3 linked regions of the Ovis aries genome follow. The protein of the gene in region 1 purifies or fractionates together with the protein of each later gene. This does not show direct contact. Links are inferred from orthologs where the notes say so. Each region holds a gene or a part of one and is shown on either strand. Other genes may lie near its edges. The genes, in order: LARP7, YBX3 and POP1.

Region 1 (3,653 bases):
CTTTTAGCATTAGAACACTTTTAAAATCTTAAAGAAAAAATGTCCCATTTCACTGAACCAATAACAAATTGTTTTACTCAATAAAGAAATAAACAGGTATAGGTACACCGTTACAATTCAAATGTGGAAATTTATATTTTCAACTTATGGGAATTTAAAATATAAATATAAAAGATCATCTTTGTTTCTACAAATGCGATGAACTACAGACTAGGCACTCATCACTAATTTTGATTACTAATGAAAACTGTATAGAGAAAATTTATGTGATTAAAAAAGATTCAGTTTAAAATGAGCCCTTCAAATATTTTTAGGTTAAGGATAAATCATATCTGGACAACTTGAGGAATCAGTAATTGCTTTAATAACAACCACTATATAATTGAGTTTCAAAAGCTAAAGTTTATCCTACAATAACTCAGTGTGTTTTAGTATAAGTACAATATAATGTTACAAAAACTATCATATTGATGCTTACTTTTTTCATTTTTCATTCCGGAATTAGTAGGTACTCCATTTGTTTCCATTTCTGATTGTGATTTTATCTGGGATATTGTTTTTTTTAAAGAAGCCATGCTGGCTTTTTGCAGTGCTAAATACTCTTTCTTCAAATCCAACCATTCTGTTCTGTAGTGAAAATAATTGTACTTTTAAACAGTGACAACAGATCATTAAATAAAAAGTAAGTCTCAAAATACAGACATTCAGTGACTTACAACCACTCATTCTCCCAATCTTTCTTTAAACACATTTAAATTATTTCCTGAGTTCTAAGTCTATCTGGCAAACAAGAAAAGGGGAGTTCCCTCTGTCCCAACATTCAGATTAAATGTTTTATATTTGCTGATTCAATTCTTGAGTATTTTTCAAATATGTGACTGACAAAAATAAAAGCACTGAGTCAACTAACTAGTAACATTTAACTAGAAAAGTCAGTTAACTCTGGGTGAAAAATTAAAATTTTAAGATTTGTTAAACTGCTTCCAATTTGAAAGGTAACATTCCTCAGTATTTACTGGAGTCAAAGGAATTTCTAAGAAGGAAAAAAACACCCCATGGAAGCAATTTATTTATTTACATACATTTAACGTGTAGAGGTTTCTTCAAACAGCTAGAGCTCCTCCAGATAGAAACACAATGCCTCTCCTGGCTCTGCAGGAGCACTCATTGTTACCCTAATCTGAGCCATCAAACAAGCAGATAGGGGATTTTTTTTTTTTTTTAAAGAGGAGAATATCTGTGGTAATGGTTTTAGCTGTTAACATTGACATCTGTATACTTCAAAAAAAAAAAAAAAAAAAATCCAGACCCACCCAGGACCATACATTCCCTGAGAGCTGATACATTAGAATAACAAAGGGCTCTTGTAATGATTCTCTGAGATAAAAAGGGAAAAGGAATTCAGGGGTTAAGAATAGTATAAATAGAAGTACCCAAAGTCCTTGCCTTTTAACCCTCCAAGAGGAAAACCGGAGTCTTTGGAAACTGTAATCCAGGAAAGTTAAGAAAGAAACTCTTAAAAGGTATGCCATTTCTTCTACTTATCTTCCACCTATTGAGAAGATGGGCTCCCTTTAACTTTAACATGGTAGTACTTTCTGTGACTTTTGAAATAGTAAGTGCTTCCATGTTTTAGTAGAAGTGAATCCAAATTACGCCACTGCATACAAGATGGCAACTTTTACATAATTTATCGAAGCTAAAAGGGGATCCCCTCTGCTTTAACATGGGGGTACCTGCTGTGTAAAGCAAAAGTAAGTGCTTCCATGTTTCAGTGGAGGTGTCTCCAAGTCAGTACTTTAAAAGGACTTACGATCTGGCATTTTGCCAAACAAACTGTTGAAACTGGCTATTAATGAAGCTCTGAAAGTAATGAAAATGTAGCAAGTAGTCCTTTTAACGGTGAAATTGTTATTTCCATTTTGCTTAATGTAAGTTTGTCAGGCATTTATTCTGTTCCCAGATTATTTTATAAATGTACTTTACAGGTTAAGATTCACGTTTTTATTTTTCCCAAGACTGGGCTCCCCACCACTTAAACGTGGATGTACTTGCTTTGTAGCTAAAAAAGTAAGTGCTTCCATGTTTTAGTGATGGTAAGTCTTCTTTTTTCATTTTATCTTCAAGAAAATGCAAGGAGTACTTACTTACACTGCTGGTCTTTGGTATATTCAAGATGGACCTTTAAATCTATTAAGGAATACCCTCTACTTTAACATGGAGGCACTTGCTGTGACTTCAAGAAAAAATAAGTGCTTCCATGTTTTAGTGCGGTGGTTCCTTTTTAAACCTCAACATTTCGCAACTTCTGTGCAGATCATGGCTTCAGGCCATTACTGTTGCTAATATGCAACTCTGTTCAATTCAAATTGGAATTGCACTTTAGCAATGGTGATGGAGTGTGTCATTTGCCAACAATATAATTTGTACTGGTGACTTACTTTGATAGTACTCGTAATGGAATAACCTCTTCTCCCATTTTATGCCTCTCTTTATGTTTTTTCTTATGCTTTCTTTTTGCTTTCAGTAGGGATCCGTCCTTTATATCTCCAGTATCCTTTTCCTCTTCCGTAGAGACTTCTAATTCTAAATTAACAAGAAATAAAGACATGAGTTAACAAGAAAACTCTCCTTATCTAATCCTAAACATAAAGTCAGAAATACCTTTGCTTTCTTTACAAACTTCTGGAGCTTCTTTTTTAACGCTGTCTTTCTGAGACACTTTCTTAACCTTCGCTTTGGGAGTGAGGCAGTCTGCATCTTCAGAGCTGCTTCTTTTCCTCTTCCCTGCTTTGACTAAAGGTAAGCTGGATCCTTCAGTTTTTTCTCGTTTTTTCTTTTTCTTTGTGGGTTGCTTTTGGGGTTCAGTAACCTCTACTTCAGAGCTCTCAGATGTGGTCCTTGATCTTTTCTTACAGACACTTTCGTTGCTCGCGTCCATATTTGACTCCTTGGTCTGGATATTGTCGTCTTTCTTTGTTCGGCCTTTCTTCTTCTTTTTCTTTTTCTTTTCTTCTGTAACAATGTTATTTTAATTACTTATTTTTACTTCATGTATGTTTAATAAAGTCTTTAGTAATAACTCACCAGTTACTGTGAGAGCTGGAATGGGCTTGTTTTTCACTGTCTTGGGAAATACACCAGGTTTTCTTGGTGCTTCCTCTGGTGGGTTATTAAGAAACTGAAATGAAATATGCAAAATTCTGTTACTGTTTAAAACACTTAGTAATTTTCTTTCTCTTTCTTTTAGGTTGTGGACCTACCTCAATAGCTTTTGCAGCTTGTTCTTTTGTTTCAAATTCCACGAAGGCAAATCCCTTTGGGTCCCCAGTAGACTTATAATGTGGTATACTTATATAAACAACATTGCCACATTTCCCAAATACTCTCTCAATCCAGCTGTGGTTAACATTTTTGGGAAGTAGTTCCTATGATAAATTAGTAATAATAAAGTGTTAAAAACAACTGAAAATAAAGCTTTATTTAAATTGAATACTACAATGTTTCTGTTGAGACAACAGTTCCGAGCTTTTCCTGAAAAATGGCTTACCACATACACAGTCCGCTCATCCTCATCCTTTGGTCTTTCACCCAGTGGCTTTTTCCTCCTGATTCTGGTGCCTTCTAAATCCAGCTTTAAAACAGTACATAAA
Region 2 (3,653 bases), on another chromosome or scaffold:
ATCTCAGTTATTTCCAGTGAAGAATATTCTTCCTGGTCTGGCATTCCTTTGCTCCAGTTGCTTTATATTTACCAGTTTTGCATTTCTTAAAGAAATATATATACATATTGCTCTTGAATCAAGAGAGCAGAGGTTGTGGAAGCACGCAAGCCGTATAGACATCCATTATTTTTTTAACTTTTTACTTTATATTGCAGCATAGTTGATAAACAGTGTTGTGTCAGGCGTCATGCTGTATACATTTAAATCAGGACATCAAGCATCTTGCTCACCTTATTAAAACGAGGGTGTGTTTTTGAGGTCACCTGTAGGAACTTCTAGTACCTCTTGCCAGTCTTAAACCCTCTGGCTGTCTAAGGCGGTGCTTTCGGTCGTTTGGCTTCTTTCTGACTCGAAGGCCGTCTTTGCTTTCTTCCTTTCTCAGGGTGCAGAAGCAGCCAACGTGACCGGCCCGGATGGCGTTCCAGTGGAAGGGAGCCGATATGCTGCTGACCGGCGCCGCTACAGACGCGGCTACTATGGCCGGCGCCGTGGACCGCCCCGCAATGTACGTTGTCTCCTTCATCATCAGTGACCCAAGAAATGTGCACATCTAAAATTAAGTGTGTATGTTTGAAGCACATAAAAGCTGTATCTTCTGCTGGAAACACAGTGATTTTTTTGGATGGGAAATTTTTCATGTTCAGAATTCATCCCCACTGGGCTTATGCGACATTTTTGCCATTCAGCAGTTTTATCCGTTTGTTTGCATTTGGCTGCAAGTAACAGCCATTTAATTATCATGTAACAAGAAGGCTTAACTTGGGCCATGCCAAGGTTGTCAAAAAGGTTTTTTCTTCTTTTGGCTCCTTTATCGGCCAGAACCGAACCATGTGACATCCACTGGGTGGGGTAGGGAGAAGGGGCCTGGGATTTCTGTGATTGGCTTACATCTGGTGTTCATCCCTTGGCGCTGACCCTGTTTATTTCTAAAGTCAGCCTTTCCTTGGCAAGGAATAGTGAGGAACAGCTCTGGAGTAAGTGATGGACAGTGCTGGCCACAGAAATATTAAGTGATTTGCCTCAATTATGTAACTTTTATTTAGGATAGCATTTCCCATTATTTCAAAGTTAAGCAACAATTAAGTCTGAATTTTTAGTCCTGTAGATTGGTACCAATCTAAGTGAAAGGGTTTACAACCAAGTCTGGCTGCAGGAGGCTCAGTTTAAAGTATTCTTGAGGCATCCAACTTGTGGTCATGAGGACCCTCTTAGATATGAGTCATTTTTTAATGTTTCTAGAATTAGTACCCGGGATTGGTACTCTGGAATAAAACTCAAGATGCTTTGTGAACACAGGATTGTGGCTATGTGCGTCATCCAGGGAAAACTTTTGAAAAAAGTCTCACCAGAATGAAGTATTTGCAGACTGAGAATGGTTTATATCTCTACACTTTGATAGAATAGTATGTTTCTGCTTACCTAAATGTTTCCTCTCTTCATTGTGTCATCTTAAACATGCAGCCCAAATTGGTTTTTATCAGATTCCATGTGATATCTTGTTTTTCTTCCTGTATTTCTCTTACCCATGTTTTGCTTATCCTGTTTAATTTTTAATAATAAACTGTGTCAGAGACAGTAGGAATAGGCTACCATAGCATCTACTACGTTGTGTTAACTCTTTCAGGTTCACCAGATTCACGGAACACTAGTTGTAATTGTTTTGATTTCTAGGTTACCTCAGAAGTACAAGTGGTAAAAAGCCTTTAGTGAAAAATTTTCCTTCAAAGACGTTTCTCCTCAGCTCGAAATTCTGAAGTCATGTGTGTGACGTTTAGAAACAAAATTATCAAAATTCTGAAAATCAACATAAATGAAGGTTTTCTGTTGTGATGTCTTCTAGGTCCTGACAGCTTCCTGAGTGTGTTTGGCAATGGTGGTGCCATTGTTGTTATTTTGTAAAACTAATCTTAATGAAAGATTTGGCTATAGAAAACTCAGATACAGAGAAACCTAAAGAGAAAATTTATAGTTTATTTAGTCACACTATTTGGCAGAACATTTTCTATGCTAATATGCCTTTAAATCATTGGAGACTGTATCTGATATAGATTTTATAAAGTATAGAGTTACTTGGATTTTCTGAAATTAGACTAGTTGAGGCTATGCTTGAAGCTTTTCCTCTTTGAGAATTTTGTTGCTCATGTGGGCTTGGTTTTCTGGAGAGTTCTAAATCTTAAATACTCTCACCCCCAACATCAGTCATTTAATTTTCTTCATTCTAAGTTTGTTCATTTTTTAAAAGCTATAGTTACTTTACTTAAGACTACCTTTGGCATTGCAATTCCCCTTTAAAGTAAGATTTGAAATAATTCTTTAAGGGATGTTTAGCTGTTTGCTTATATTTTTTGATATAAAATGTTAGTATGTGAAATGGTAGTTTAAATACAGGGAAAAGACAAAATGAATCAATAATTCCTTGTGTTAATAAAGTTTGTTATATTCAGAAACTGTATTTATTACTTGCTACTATGTATTAAAGTGCAATTAAAACTTTATTCCTAAACAAATAAAGAGAGGTATGCCATAAGTCAGTGGTTCTCAAACCTTCTGGTTTTTGGACCCATTTATATGCTTAATTATGGGATGCCAGAGTTTTTATGTATATTTATATCTATTAATACTTATTGTATTGGAAAGTAAAGCAGAATTTAAAAGATTTGATTTATTTTAAAATAAGCTATTACTTGAAATACAAATAACTTTTTTTTAATGAAAGCTAATTTTTAATTGAATGAAAAGAGTGGTGTTGCTTTAGGTTTTTGCCAATCACTGATGTTGGTTTAATAAAAGACAGCTGGTTTCTTACAGCTCCTTCTGCCTTGGTGCTGTGAGGGACCATGTGTCACTGTAGCTTCTGGGAGATCCAACCCCCCTCCTGCCCCCAACTCAGGAGAGAATGAGATGGGAAAAGACAGCATCCTGCCAGCCTTATGAGAATAGTTTGACCTTGATGACCCCCTAAGAAGGATTTCAGAGACCCTCATCCACACTTTGAGAACCCAACCACTCCAGGAAGCAAACCACTTAGGACCAACCACAAAATATACAAAACATATTTTTCTTTACTTTGCCCCAGTAGATGACCAGTGTTGGGGAGACACATTTGGTGGAGCCAAATATTCTAAACTGTGTAAATGTTTTTTGGGTGGTTAGTCAACTGATACTGACATTCTAACTAGATGCGAACTAAATTCTTTAGCGATTAATTGCACTTGCTTTTCTGCTTCTTGGTATTTTATCTGCATAGATCTGCTTTAATGTTAATGTAGCTTATCTCAGGTCATCACCTGATGATCCGGGGTAAATGCATTTTTGTCGATATACTAGAAGGGATCGTTCCTTTGGGGGAGAATTTTTTGTTTGTTTGTTTGTTTCGTTGATACTCAGCCTAAATGGTATTCTTTGCTTCTTTCCCTGCCGACACCTCTCTGAACCTCTGTTTCTTTGCTTCGCTAGTACGCTGGGGAGGAGGAGGAGGAAGGGAGCGGCAGCAGTGAAGGACTGGAGGCCCCCGCCGCTGCCGGGCAGTTCTCTGGGGCCCGGAGTCAGCCGCGCCGCCCCCAGTACCGCCCCCAGTACCGGCGGCGCTTCCCGCCTTACCACGTGGGACA
Region 3 (3,653 bases), on another chromosome or scaffold:
AGAAGCTGCAGGAGCAGTCTGTATTTAAATAAGAATCCGTTTACTTGCTACATTCACTTAGACTTGCTATTCTAGGAGAAGTGAAAGATAAAGTCTTTGATAATAAGCATGACTAGGCAAACAAACACGTATAAGCTATGGCCAAAAACGCTCCCAAATTATATGCTGCTGCTACTGCTAAGTCACTTCAGTCATGTCCGACTCTGTGCGACCCCATAGACGGCAACCCACTAAGGCTCCTCTGTCCCTGGGATTCTCCAGGCAAGAATACTGGAGTGGGTTGCCATTGCCTTCTCCGAAACTATATGTTAGGTTTCGCAAATTTGCTAAGGAGGGCCTGACCAGAATACAGCAATGCAATCAGGTTTACTCTTACGGTGTGGATGGAAGCAGCTTTGAGCGCCTCAGTTAAGATGGAGTGAGAGAGAGGACCGATCAGCCGGAATCTGTTCATCTCCATAGTCAAATCACTGAAAGAAAAGAGAAGGGCTTTATACTGCATATAATGTCTGTCTCACTGACAAAAACAAAGCACGGCTTCACTGAAAATGTTCAGTAGATTCAGAGTAGGTTCAGCCCATACCGGATCACGATGCCTGTGGCTGGAGAGAGCCAAGAATATGGTTGAAGTGGATCTCTAGTTCCATCACCGATGACTTTTTTAACTGGTTGAGCATTTTCCCCATCATCTTTCCGTTTTCTTTTCTTGCCGACTTTTTCTTCAGGCAGGTCAACCTGGCTTTTCTCTTGAGACGGTGTCAGAAGGGGATCTGGGGTCCGGACAGTTGTCTTGGTAGGTTCCATACACTGGCACACTGCTTTTATCTCCTCTAAGATATCCTAAGGACACATTCAAACATTTTAAGCTCTGAATTTAAATACAAGTTTAAGTTGGCTTAGTTTATTTTTTCTACCTGTAAAAATTTATATTCCTATGTCACACAAATGAAGCTAAATTTAAAATCGTCAAAAAGCTTTTTCGATTCCTCTGAAAAGCTTTTTTGATTCCTCTGAGTAGTGCTTGACACACAGAACAAAAAAAAGAACTCCTAAATGTACAAGACTCATGAAAACAACATGACTACTCTGACCAAATTTTTTTTAAACTAGTCTAAAGATGAATTTGGAGAAAATTTACAATCTACTGTATAAAAGCAATGAGAGTGTTAATAGAGGGAAGCTAAGCTAAACGCAGTATTAAAAAATTGTCAGAATCACTCAAAACAGATTCTCATCATCAAACTGGCTCCAACAAGCACATGAATACCAATGAACCAGTTAAGGATAATGGAAGCACTAGTCCAGGGCACCATCTCAAGCCATTTGTATAAGACTGGTTTCATCTCTACTCCTACTCTGGCCTTACCAAAAGTCAGGTCAAGATTTGCTTCACTTATTAATACTAACATAACTATCCTCCCTATATTCCAATACAAAGCAATCAGTCAAACTTTCACACTATTTAAATTTCTGTAGCACTCATTTCTAACAGTAATCAAGAATACACTGACTAAGTGATGAGAAATAATATCAAGGATTATACCTGTTTAAGAGCTGGATGAAGCCAGATCCACAACTGCCTGCTCTCAGAAGTGTCACCAGGGGTCCCCTGGGCCTTCCACATAAATGTCACAGGGCCCAGCATTTCTAGGGGATACTTATTTGCCCGGTAAAGCATGACACTCCCTTGGCACTTTCCAGACAAACAGTGGACCGAGGCAAAAGTCAATCCTAACATAAACAAAAACAAAATTCCAAGATCATTTACTGTCTATCTTCATAACAGATGAGGTTTTAGTTTTGGTTGTTGCTTAGATCAAACCCTGGCACATGATAAGTTCTCAATAAAAATTTGTTGAGAAAATGATTTAATGAATTTTGAGTTTCTTCCTATCTAGATTTACTGCATCAGAATAATGGTTCCCTCACTTTATACTTAGTATGTTAGAAATGATTTAAAAGGTACCCCAAGCTTTCCTTACATGAATATACTCGTTAGGAATAAGAACTATCTCCGTAAATCCTGTTTAAATGCCAAAATGCTTATAGAAGATACTTGTTCATGAAATGAATAAATATACAGACTTAAACAGGACTCAGCTCTGAAATAAGTTTACCTGTGTCTATGCTACACATTGAAGAAAGTGCTTTGAGTATTTCTTCCTCTTTGCCCTCTAACTCCAAACAACAGTAGTAGGATAAATCCTGTAAAAAGAGGGAGATACAATTAAATACTTGAATTTCTACTTAAAATGTAAGTGGCAGTGTCTTACTTTTCAGAAAGGAGGTATGTGTTTTATCCTATAGTCACAGATAAGTTCCAAGTGGTATGTAAAAACTACTGCCTTTAAGGATTATCCCTCCCCAAAATCTACCTCAAGTGAAAAATCAAAGTAGAATAAGCAAGACTGTAATAAATTCAGCAAAATGATGTTAAAGACGCTCAGTTTGGTTAGCTAACTTAGGGCCTTAGGATTACTCAACACTCAGCCTAAAGACACATGAGGCAATTTATCCCACGTTTCTCCCCTGCTCAGTCTCTCTCTTTTGCTTGTTTAATATTGTTTATTTGGCTGCTCTGGATCCTAGCTGTTGACATGAAGGATCTAGTTTCCTGACCAGGCATCAAACCCAGGCCCCCTGCCTTGGGAGCCACTGGAGCACCAGGGAAGCCCCATCCCCTGCTCAGTATGAACCACGGCATCCAACTCTGACTAAGCAATGTACAAGGAAAAGTGTGAGTAATGAGAATAAAGCCTTAGCGATTTAAACAGGATGAAGAGAGCTCAGACTGAGCTAATAAAATCAATTATGTTAAACATATAATAATGGTTAATAGTTACTGAAAGGTTATTGAGTGCCAGCGCGGGGTTAACTCCTTACTGGACTGTCATTTAATCTTCCCAACACCTGATGATCAGATGCCAGCATTAACTTATTTGCCGGGTGAGGACATGGAGACAGAGACTGCTACTTGAACAGTCATATCATCAGAAAGTGGAGAAGCTGGCATGAGTCAGGCTCACTGACCCCCAGGCTAACCCCTCTGCCACAGGTCCTGTAAGCAAATCCAGTACACATGGAAACTAAAATGCCAAGTGCAGCAAAGGCTGCAACAAACTCATGTTCATCTGTGCTGACAGAAATCTTCCAGCAACAGTGATCCACTCCCAGCTGTCAGCGGCAGAGTGTGTACAATTGGCTGACAGCAGAGAATGATGGTTAAGAGCATGGAACTCTGGAGCCAGACGACCTGGGCTCAAATCCCAGCTTCACCACTCATTAGCTGTACAGCTGTGGGTAAACTGCCCAACTTCTCTGTACTTCAGCTTCCTCATTTGTAAAATGGAAATAATAATAAACACTTACCCCATACTGTTGCTGTAAGGATTAAGTGAGTAAACATATGTAAAGTACTAAAACAGACATTAAGTATTCAAAAATATTTATTACTAGCTATTATTTTTATTACTTAGGGCAGATGTAAAGAAAGTATGGGATAACCTCAGCAAAAATTCTGCCCCAAATGAGGAGTAACTATGTCTGCCTTACAATCTGAGTGATGGTAGTGGAGAAAGCATGGGCCAGGGGAGTCGGCTTCCCAGAGCTAGGTAGGTCGCCAGCAACATGTGTGGCCCTAGGCAAGTCACTTG

What was found.
Region 2: the proteins of LARP7 (region 1) and YBX3 purify together in Homo sapiens (affinity purification with mass spectrometry; 3 studies listed by BioGRID and IntAct, with this or other methods). This does not show direct contact. The link is inferred for Ovis aries from reciprocal best matches to the Homo sapiens genes LARP7 and YBX3.
Region 3: the proteins of LARP7 (region 1) and POP1 purify together in Homo sapiens (affinity purification with mass spectrometry; 3 studies listed by BioGRID and IntAct, with this or other methods). This does not show direct contact. The link is inferred for Ovis aries from reciprocal best matches to the Homo sapiens genes LARP7 and POP1.

Annotation. Positions count from the first base shown.
Region 1 is NC_056059.1:13,380,785-13,384,437, forward strand, and holds part of LARP7 (la-related protein 7), read right to left. Parts: intron 3,635-3,653; coding exon 3,551-3,634; intron 3,429-3,550; coding exon 3,264-3,428; intron 3,182-3,263; coding exon 3,088-3,181; intron 3,016-3,087; coding exon 2,665-3,015; intron 2,587-2,664; coding exon 2,442-2,586; intron 628-2,441; coding exon 479-627; intron 1-478. UniProt on the Homo sapiens protein: RNA-binding protein that specifically binds distinct small nuclear RNA (snRNAs) and regulates their processing and function.
Region 2 is NC_056056.1:204,575,075-204,578,727, forward strand, and holds part of YBX3 (Y-box-binding protein 3), read left to right. Parts: intron 1-424; coding exon 425-547; intron 548-3,498; coding exon 3,499-3,653. UniProt on the Homo sapiens protein: Binds to the GM-CSF promoter. Seems to act as a repressor. Also binds to full-length mRNA and to short RNA sequences containing the consensus site 5'-UCCAUCA-3'. May have a role in translation repression.
Region 3 is NC_056062.1:79,005,804-79,009,456, forward strand, and holds part of POP1 (ribonucleases P/MRP protein subunit POP1), read right to left. Parts: intron 2,206-3,653; coding exon 2,118-2,205; intron 1,732-2,117; coding exon 1,544-1,731; intron 841-1,543; coding exon 584-840; intron 471-583; coding exon 377-470; intron 1-376. UniProt on the Homo sapiens protein: Component of ribonuclease P, a ribonucleoprotein complex that generates mature tRNA molecules by cleaving their 5'-ends. Also a component of the MRP ribonuclease complex, which cleaves pre-rRNA sequences.